Linked DNA regions of Nothobranchius furzeri. The protein of the gene in region 2 binds, or shares a complex with, the protein of the main gene of each other region. Links are inferred from orthologs where the notes say so. Each region holds a gene or a part of one and is shown on either strand. Other genes may lie near its edges.

What was found.
Region 1: g3bp1 (region 2) and elavl4 share a complex: the UniProt entries of both Homo sapiens proteins name them as parts of the TAU mRNP complex. The link is inferred for Nothobranchius furzeri from reciprocal best matches to the Homo sapiens genes G3BP1 and ELAVL4.

The regions. Positions count from the first base shown.
Region 1 is NC_091748.1:56,521,863-56,526,107, forward strand, and holds the start of elavl4 (ELAV-like protein 4), read left to right. Parts: upstream 1-1,137; 5' UTR 1,138-1,697; coding exon 1,698-1,745; intron 1,746-2,391; coding exon 2,392-2,532; intron 2,533-4,245. UniProt on the Homo sapiens protein: RNA-binding protein that is involved in the post-transcriptional regulation of mRNAs. Plays a role in the regulation of mRNA stability, alternative splicing and translation.
Region 2 is NC_091741.1:69,282,882-69,287,364, forward strand, and holds the start of g3bp1 (ras GTPase-activating protein-binding protein 1), read right to left. Parts: upstream 2,933-4,483; 5' UTR 2,798-2,932; intron 1,381-2,797; 5' UTR 1,359-1,380; coding exon 1,264-1,358; intron 1,159-1,263; coding exon 1,077-1,158; intron 229-1,076; coding exon 55-228; intron 1-54. UniProt on the Homo sapiens protein: Protein involved in various processes, such as stress granule formation and innate immunity. Plays an essential role in stress granule formation.

The DNA.
Region 1 (4,245 bases), on a different chromosome or scaffold from region 2:
GTGTCAATGTGGCTGCTATTAACTGGCCGATCCCCCTCCAACTCTGATCTCAGACGGCAAAAAGCACATTTAAAATGTTGTTTGACTCTGTCCTGACAAAGGTACCGTGATCCTGCTCAGTCCAACACCATCGACCAACGTTAGAATGGCCTGTATTTGTACAGCGCCTCCTAGAGTTCTACAACCCCCCGAGGTGCTTCACAGCACAACCAGTCATTCCCGAATTCACACACACATTCACACGCTGGTGGGGATGAGCTACAATGTAGCCACAGCTGCCCTGGGGGCGCACGGACAGAGGTGAGGTTGCTGAGAACTGGCGCCACCAGCAGACAAGGAGGGTGACGGGGTGTCTTGCCTAACGACACAATAGCAGAATTCCCTGCCAGGAGCCGGGATCAAACCTACGACCTTCCCATTATCGGACAATCCGCTCAACCTTCTGAGCTCTGCCGATTTGTTTTATCTCAAGAAATAAACTTTTTTTAACAATATTTGTCTCTTTTTTTTACACGAAGATTCACAATCTAATTGAATTTTCCAAACTGTTTAACCCAATGAATGCAGTGAGTCATGCTCTGGCTGTTTCCTGTTCATTTAGGAGTCGGGATCTCCTGCCACGACTGTGACTGGTTGCTGCGTCATCACTGTGCCACACCCTGCTGAGGAAAAGGACAACCACCTGACCTTGACGCTCAGCCCAGCAGCATTTTTCCTCTGTTTTTTTTTTAAAATCCAACTCCCATTGAGTCTCCCTGTGTTTTATTATGTTCCAATGATGCATTTCCTGTAAATAATCTGAATGTTTTAAAGCAGATAAAATGTTGTATCTCTTTTATTTGCAAAAACATGAAATCATTCAACAATATTAAATCCCACACATCCTAATTTTGTTCGTTAATCCTAGTTTAAGTTCTAGCTTCTTTTAAGTGTCTGCATCCATGTCTGGTGAACTCACTTGAAAAGGAGGAGAAAAGAAGCAAATCTGAGTGATGGAAGAGGAGGAGATGATGGTGCTGATGCTGATGCTAGAACAGTTTTCCCACCTTGTGGTGACAGAGTGAACTGTAGCTGCTTGAATGCACGAGCAGTGGGGGAAGAGGGAGTGATGCAGAGGGAGGTGGAGGGGAAAAGAGAGAGAGAAAGAGAGAGAGAGAGAGAGCAAAAGGGAGGGGAGTTTAAACTAAGTGCTATGTTTTGGGACAGGCTAATCTGCTAGCGAGCAGTGTGAGGATCGGAGCGTATTGTGTGAGCCAGTGTGTGGGGGACAGATAAGGGAGCCAGCCAGCCTACCAGCCCGACCCACCGACCCGCCGAGTGCGTGTTTTAATGTGCTAACTCTGGGGAGATTTTAAAAGACAGCAGCGTATTGACTCCTCAGACGTGTGCGGAGACCTCGGGCACAAACGCCTCCACTAAACAGCCGCAGCCAGCAGAAGAGCATCAGCAGAGAAAGAGAGAGTGAGAGAGAGAGGGAGAGAGAGAGAGAAAGAAAAAAAGAGCAGGGAACTGAAAACAGCACCAAATCCTGAAATCAAAGAGGATTTTTTTATTCTCCTCTTTTTTTCTGTTTTCTTTCTTTTTTCTTGTTCCTGGGACAAGAGGGGCTGACTCCCAACTGCAGAGAACGGCCAGAAAAAAGCTGAAGAGAATCTAACAGTTGAAAGGACAGAAAAAAAACCTCATCGAATCTGAACATGTTTGAAATAAGCCGAACACTCAACGCTGCTTTGTTGAGCAATGAGGTAAAGATATCTGGATTTACCTTTTTGTGTTTGCATCTCACCTTTGTATGTCTGCTGCCAACCATTCTGTCATTTGTGTTATAGTATGTCTGCGTGTGTGTGTGTGTGTGTGTGTGTCCCTACACCTCGGTGTGCTTGCATCCAGAAGACAGAAGGGATGATTGATAACAGCAGCTGTTTATTTCTGAAAATGAAGGGACCGCTATGCTTCTCACACTCATTCTGCCTTGTAATCATAAACAGAGAGCCAGAGCCCCTGCCTCATTGTAATAAAACCACCGTAGCCATCTAGCCCATCAAACATAGGCTTTGCTTGTGAAATTGTCCACCTGAGGCTAAATCTGTATGTGTGCCTTCATGTGCACGCACGGCGTGAGTGGACGTGTGTGGCTCTATGTTCACACGTGTTGGTGTGAGTGCAAAAATGTTCTCGTAAACCCATCCACCTCCCTCTTTTCTTCAAGGTTTTTCCCCTCCTCACTCCCTCTTCTGTCCTTCCTACCTGCTGTTGTCTGCTCTCCTTCCCATCTAAGACACCCCTTTCCCTCTCTCTCTCTTTCTCTCTCTCTCTCCCCCTTCCTCCCCCACTGTCTCTGCTCCCCTCTCCTCCCGTGTCTTTGTATGAGCGTGTGTGTTCTGTGAGCAGCATCTCAAGATGATGGCGAGGTACGGGCAGCTCTCGGGACTAGCAGCCAGTGGCGTGGGCACCGTCCCCGAGACGCACTCGCCGCTATTTCCCAGGGATCTCCTGTCATCGCCCGTCCAGATGGGCTACAGGTCACCCCTGGTAAGAGGATAGACAGACCAACATACCTCTGCCTCTTTCATGAGCACAGGCGAGCGTAAAACCTGTAAATGAAAAGGCTGTTGTGGTAGTTAGTTTGGATACGGTGTGTGTGTGTGTGTGTGTGTGTGTGTGTGTGTGTGTGTGTGTGTGTGTGTGTGTGTGTGTGTGTGTGTATTGGAAAAAAAAGAGTAAAAGGGGTAAAAACCAAAAAAAGAGCAAATCAATTATGGGATTCTGCCTGTATCCCCAGTGGAGAATATTAGTAAATATTTACATTGTTATGTTTGTTCAATTACAGCCGCCTACTCTGTCTTTAACCTCTGCCAGTCATATTACTATCAAGGGAGTTTGAGGTGTTTGTGTGTGCATGCATGCATGTGTGTATGCATTTGGTAAATTTGGTAAATGCTGCAGCACTAAATGTCCAGTTTAATTTCCTTAGGTGTTCTAGCTATAGTTTCTGAAGAGCTGCTCAATGACGAGTTGTAAAAACTTCGGATTTTAAAAATGAAGTCTGATTTCATTAAATAATTAATCAGGTAATTTCTAATCGTTCCATTTTACAGAATCAGAGAAAGCAGGAAGTCTGCAGAGAGACATTTTCCACCAGAGTCAACATTACGCTGCAATTTACATAGTAAAGATTACTTGAGGCAAAAGGGACCGGGAGAGGAAAGGGGGCATGAGGAAAACCTTAAGTGTTTAGGCATAAAAAGGAAAAAAAAAAAGCCTTGTAAGAAAATCCCTGACTCGCTGCATAAAAGCGACATGAAGCTGTGGGTGTCTAATCTGCTGTGGGCTCCTCATTGGTTCGGCTCCCCTTCTAACTGGCTCAGATCCACACCCCGGAGCCTCCCGGAAGCCTTCATAGCCCACTGTCATGCTGCTGACTGTACCCAGGGGTGTCCGTCAAGTGTATGCTAATTCGTGGAAAAGGGATAAGCAGTGGAATATGTCCATGAGGAACTGAGCTTTAAAAAAATGGCTTTACTCGACTTCAAAGCCATCTGTCCAGCGCTTTGCTGATGCTTTTCTGAACGTGAAGCACTGTGTGCTCCGCTGGCTGTTTAGACCCACAGCAGCGTTATCAGCTGTCTGCATGAAGGTGCTGAACCACAAACCAGTGTTACCTCGATTTATGACATAAATACAATTGGCACATTAACGTATTACAATAAATCGTTTAATCATTCTAATGGCTCAATTTCCATCTGGGATTAATAAAGTATTTTTGAATTGAATTGGATAAAATTCTGTGGCGCTCACTTTAGGGGTTATTGTCAGGGAGGATGCATCTCAACAGGGAAGAAAGGAACATGCTTGGATTAAATTAAACGTAAGCATTAATTTCAAGAATTGTAATGAAGTCATTAAGCAGCTTCATTTATTACAAAAAATGTTTGTTAATAGTAGATTTGCGGGGATTTGGTGCATTTGTTTTCAGTTCATTTCTGGTGATGAAGCTTGTCCTTCTGTGTGTTTGTGTGGGAAAGTGCAAAGGCTTGTGTATTTGTTTGAAAATGTGCGTGCTTGAGTATGTGTGTGCCTGTATTCATGATTACCCTGGTTAAAAAAGAACATCGTTAAAGTGATTAATGGTGCCTTCATTAAGCACATCGAGATCATTTGCATACATTAGATAAATGTGCTGGAAGATTCTGGTTGTTTTGTTGGGTGAAGCCTCAGGTTTCAGAGGGCTGGTGCTACAGAAAA
Region 2 (4,483 bases):
GTGAATAAACTGATCAGATCAATGAAAAAAATATATTAATAATCTAATACCAACCTCTGGTGCCAGAACGAAGGTCTGCATGAACTTCCTCATGGGCTGCATGTTATTAGACAGCTCGCCCATCACCTGCACCACCACGCCTTCGTTCAGAGTAGCGTGAGCGTCCACATGTCTGATCTTAGTGTGGCAGTCTCGGAAACTCAAAGCCATCACTCTTTTATGGATCTCCTGATAAAAAAAAAATTCAAAAGATTTAACGAACTGAAGATTTAATTTGGGCATTTAACAGCAATCAATCATTTCTCAATTATCCAACTACATGACAAGAGCGATAATGGTTATTTTAACAAGCATTAGAATAAAACAATTTACGTGAGGATTAATAAATCAGAAAGTACTGATAAACATTCATCAGAATGTTAAACTACCTAGAAAACTTAGTTTCTGGAAGAAAAAAACAAGTGTGTAACAATGACTCTTGAAAAGAAAATATATTCATGAATATTTCACATTCTAGATTCATGAGACTATGAGACACACCTAACAGGCCTTTTCCAACAGCACTACTCAGGCTAAAACAGCTCAGTGCAGCGTGGGTTAACTCGGCTCACCACAGAGTACTTGGCTTTCCTTGCCTGCTCAGAGACAAAAAGTGGGTGCACCCCTCATAGCGGATGGGGGGGACCACAGCATTTGCTTGTGCAGGGATCTTTACGCGACAAAAATAGCACAAGGTCATCAGTACACACTGTGAGGTGACCTGCATGCTCCACAGAAACAACTCTGCACAAAAATAAAGGTGATGTTGAACACTCTTCAGTTTTATGGTTTCAGACAGCAGACAGAAGGCTCTGGAGCAACCAGTGACTCCGCCCCCTAGCCAATCAGTGGCCGACAGTCGAAATACCGGTTCAGCTCTTGGAACCAAAACAGAGGGACTGAAAAGTAGAGGGAAAGCAGGGGAAAAATACCAAAACGCGCCGTTGGACAAAAGCAATCAGACCAAACCGAACCCTCCCGAGTTGCACCAAGTATTGCCGCTGGAAAATGCCTCTAACTGGGTGAAGCCCACTTACAGATTGTCCATAAACCGCCTCTACTGGTTTGCCGTTGCTGTCCAGGCCACCATGCACATAGGAGGAGTTCTTTCCGTAAAACCTGAACAAAAAGACAAACTAGTTGTTTGTACAAATATTTAACAATTTATCATAAAACCATTTAAACTTCAAAATCAAACCCTCCACAAGCAGCTGACTTCCGTACCTGTGCAGGTAGTCGGGGGCCTGGTTCAGGAGTGTGTAATACTGTCGGACAAACTCTCGCCCGACCAGCTGGGCACTTGGCTTCTCCATCACCATTTCTTTGGTCAACTGGAAATCTCTGCAAATAAGAAAAGTGTCACTGACAAAGAAAATGACGGACTGTGATTCCAAGTAGGGACAAAGAAACTGGTGATTTGATCCAAGAATCAGAATAAAATAACTTCATTAATCCGACAGTGGAGAAATTCATAAGGCAGCTACTTCCACAGACTACAGAGAGTGAAATCATTAGTCTTGATATATTTACATCAATTTGTAAAAATGAAATAAAAACTTGTAGCTCAGGTTCCTGATCAAAGACAATATTTTTAACTGTAAAATGTTTTAATGTAAACATTGATAACTAATAGTCATCAAAAACTATTGTCTTCATTTAGTTTTTAACAATCCTGCAACAATAATTTTGGCACCTAGCGTTATGCAGCACATTATGGCAACATTTGATGAATGAGTTGGTGAGAGAACCTGTTTCTGCTCAGGCAGGAGGCAAATAAAGAACAGGTAATCAAACCTGAGAATTTACGTTAGTCACATAGAAGCTACGGTCTAATCCTTCTTCTATCAGATCATTCAGAACCAGAAATGAGCATCCTCATAAAGACAACCAGCGAAATCCCATCCATCATGAAATGAAACCGAGTTAAAGAAACAAGCAAAGCAATCCATCGAGATCAGAATGTGCCACCGGGCCACGATGCGCGCAGAGGATAAGCTTGGACTTGTGTTTATTATCTTAAGTCACGGTCTTGAGTAAAGGTGCTCGAACTGTAAGCAGACAAAGGCCACGCCGTGCCAGCCGTGATGGAGTCATGGAGGCCCCCGCTCGCCTCAGGGACTAAAGGCCAGTCCGGCGGCCGTTACCAGATATAACCTGAGCACACATGGCACGACGCCCGGCCACACCACGGAGCTGAACAACGACAGCTGGAGCAGCTCACGGCCTCAAAGCTGAACAGAGACCCGTCTGCTGCTAGGTTACGGAAGGAGCCCCAGCACGTGTCCCGCACGGTCCCTGGTCTAACCTTTCGCTTTTAGCGACCACACACCCAAGGTGGTAGTTTATACACAAATAAAACCAACGAAACACTACCAAATTCGGTTCGATCATACAATTCCAAATGTGGAAAGTAATATTGTAAAGAAAGAAAACGGGAGTCACGACTGAAAGGGCGGTGGCTATTTCCTGAAATAGCAAAAGCGAAACTTGGGGATTAATAATTATTTTCAAATAAGTTACAATTTCAAACTTTCAGTAACAGCCTTGTGTTTTAAATAATTTAATAATTAAGCGAACTGCACAGTTATAACACCTATGTAATAGCTTAGCTACAATGGCCAAAACCAGCTAACATCATCGCAAGGCCAGAAAATAGACGGAGACCGGGACGCCAACCCAGTTAATCAAATAAGCGCGGCGAAATGAAAATTTGCTTTTTCGAAAATAGGATAGCATAAATAGGAACGAAACAACTCACCAACTGATCAAACTATTAAAATGAAAACGTTGCTTTGAAATAATGTGACTTTTTTTAACCAGCGTAGCAGCTGCCTGTTAACTAGCGGCTTCACAACGTGCTGGAGTACCCGGATACCGGTGGTTTCACCCTCGCAATCGCAACTGAACATGATGTCCCGCCTCTCAGAGCTTCTCTGGCCAATAAGATTAAGGTTTTAGTCAGCAACCAATTAAATAAAGCGCCAAGGAGTATCCCGGATGAAAATGGAAGTTTGAGTAACGGTTTAAGGTGCGATGGTTTTAAGAACTGGCGTCTCCCGTAGTCAATATGCACTGTTACATTTTCTCCACTTGGAGGCGACAAAAGTGTTTGGCCAACATTTGAGCTAATGTAATTTGTGGAAGATTGATGCAAGCGCGTTTTATCTGAGATTAGACTGATTTATGCTGATTCTGTCTCGAAACAAAACAATTCAGACGTTATGTCAACTAAAATGAAAAGCAAAAGAGTTACAAATGTATAAATATTTGGACAACTTTTTAAACACCTAACATGGAACATTTGAGACAACATTGATTGAACAATATTTATGTTGGTACTGAAATCTTCAGATTCCCCCTTCTCTGTGTCATAATATTCATTGTGAATGTCATAACGTGATTTTTTTAAGTTTGTTTCTTTCATTAAAAAATTGTTGTTTTTTTTATTATTTCTTGAGTTTGTTTCTGTTCTTAGCTCTGTTAACTTTGGAGGGGTCAATAGACTGCCTGGGAAATTTGTCCTTTTAGAAACTTTTATAACTTGTAATAATTATTTAGGAAAAAAGAAATTCAAAATGAAATAATTGAATATTGTGGAGCTGGAAAAGAAATCCTCCAGAGTCATTCCTCACATATGATATCTTAAGTATTAGATTCATGTGTAGTACAAATGTTTTGCTAATGTGCTTTTTTTATGGAAACTGGAAAGAAATCTATCTAATCAGCTATTATCTATTAATCACTAATTAATCCAGCTGTAATTATTGACAATCCTAAAAAAGTTAGCCAGAACACAGATGATGGTTCTTTAAAAAAAATTCAAACATCAAATCTAAAAGGTGCCACTTCAAATGTTTAACTCACCTGTATTTTTTATTTTTTATTTCGTAGTTTTTGTTAAATTCTTAAAATTCTCCTTAAAACCACACCTATGACTTTATGACCTGAATGAGATTTTAATGTGTTAAATCACCAAACCTTCTCTTCAACAGCATGATGAACTCATTATTTTTTCCCTGCTGTGGCAGAGAGGAGGGACTTCAGGCTTCATGGGCCCTGGGGTTGTTTCACATTCCTGACGCTGGAGTCTGGATGAGCGGGTGGAGATGGTAACAGGGTGCTCCGGATCTCCCTCTGCTGTCTCCCAGGGGACCACGAGCAGCCTTAGCCAGGGAAAATGAAACCTCTCAGTGCAACAACGTTGAACAGACAGACTGAAGACATGAACAACCTTAAATGGCAGTCAGATCTGAACAGCGTGTTCTCATGTTGAATTGGCTCATTCAAGCCGATTTTCATAGACACACCTTCAATTCATGCAGCCAGGATTTTCTGATGTTACAAATAAGTGTTCAGTGCAAACTTTTAATTACTCACATCACATTACAATGTCAAAAAGAGTTTAGCTTGACACACAGTGTTTAATCCCTGTCTTTGCTTTCTT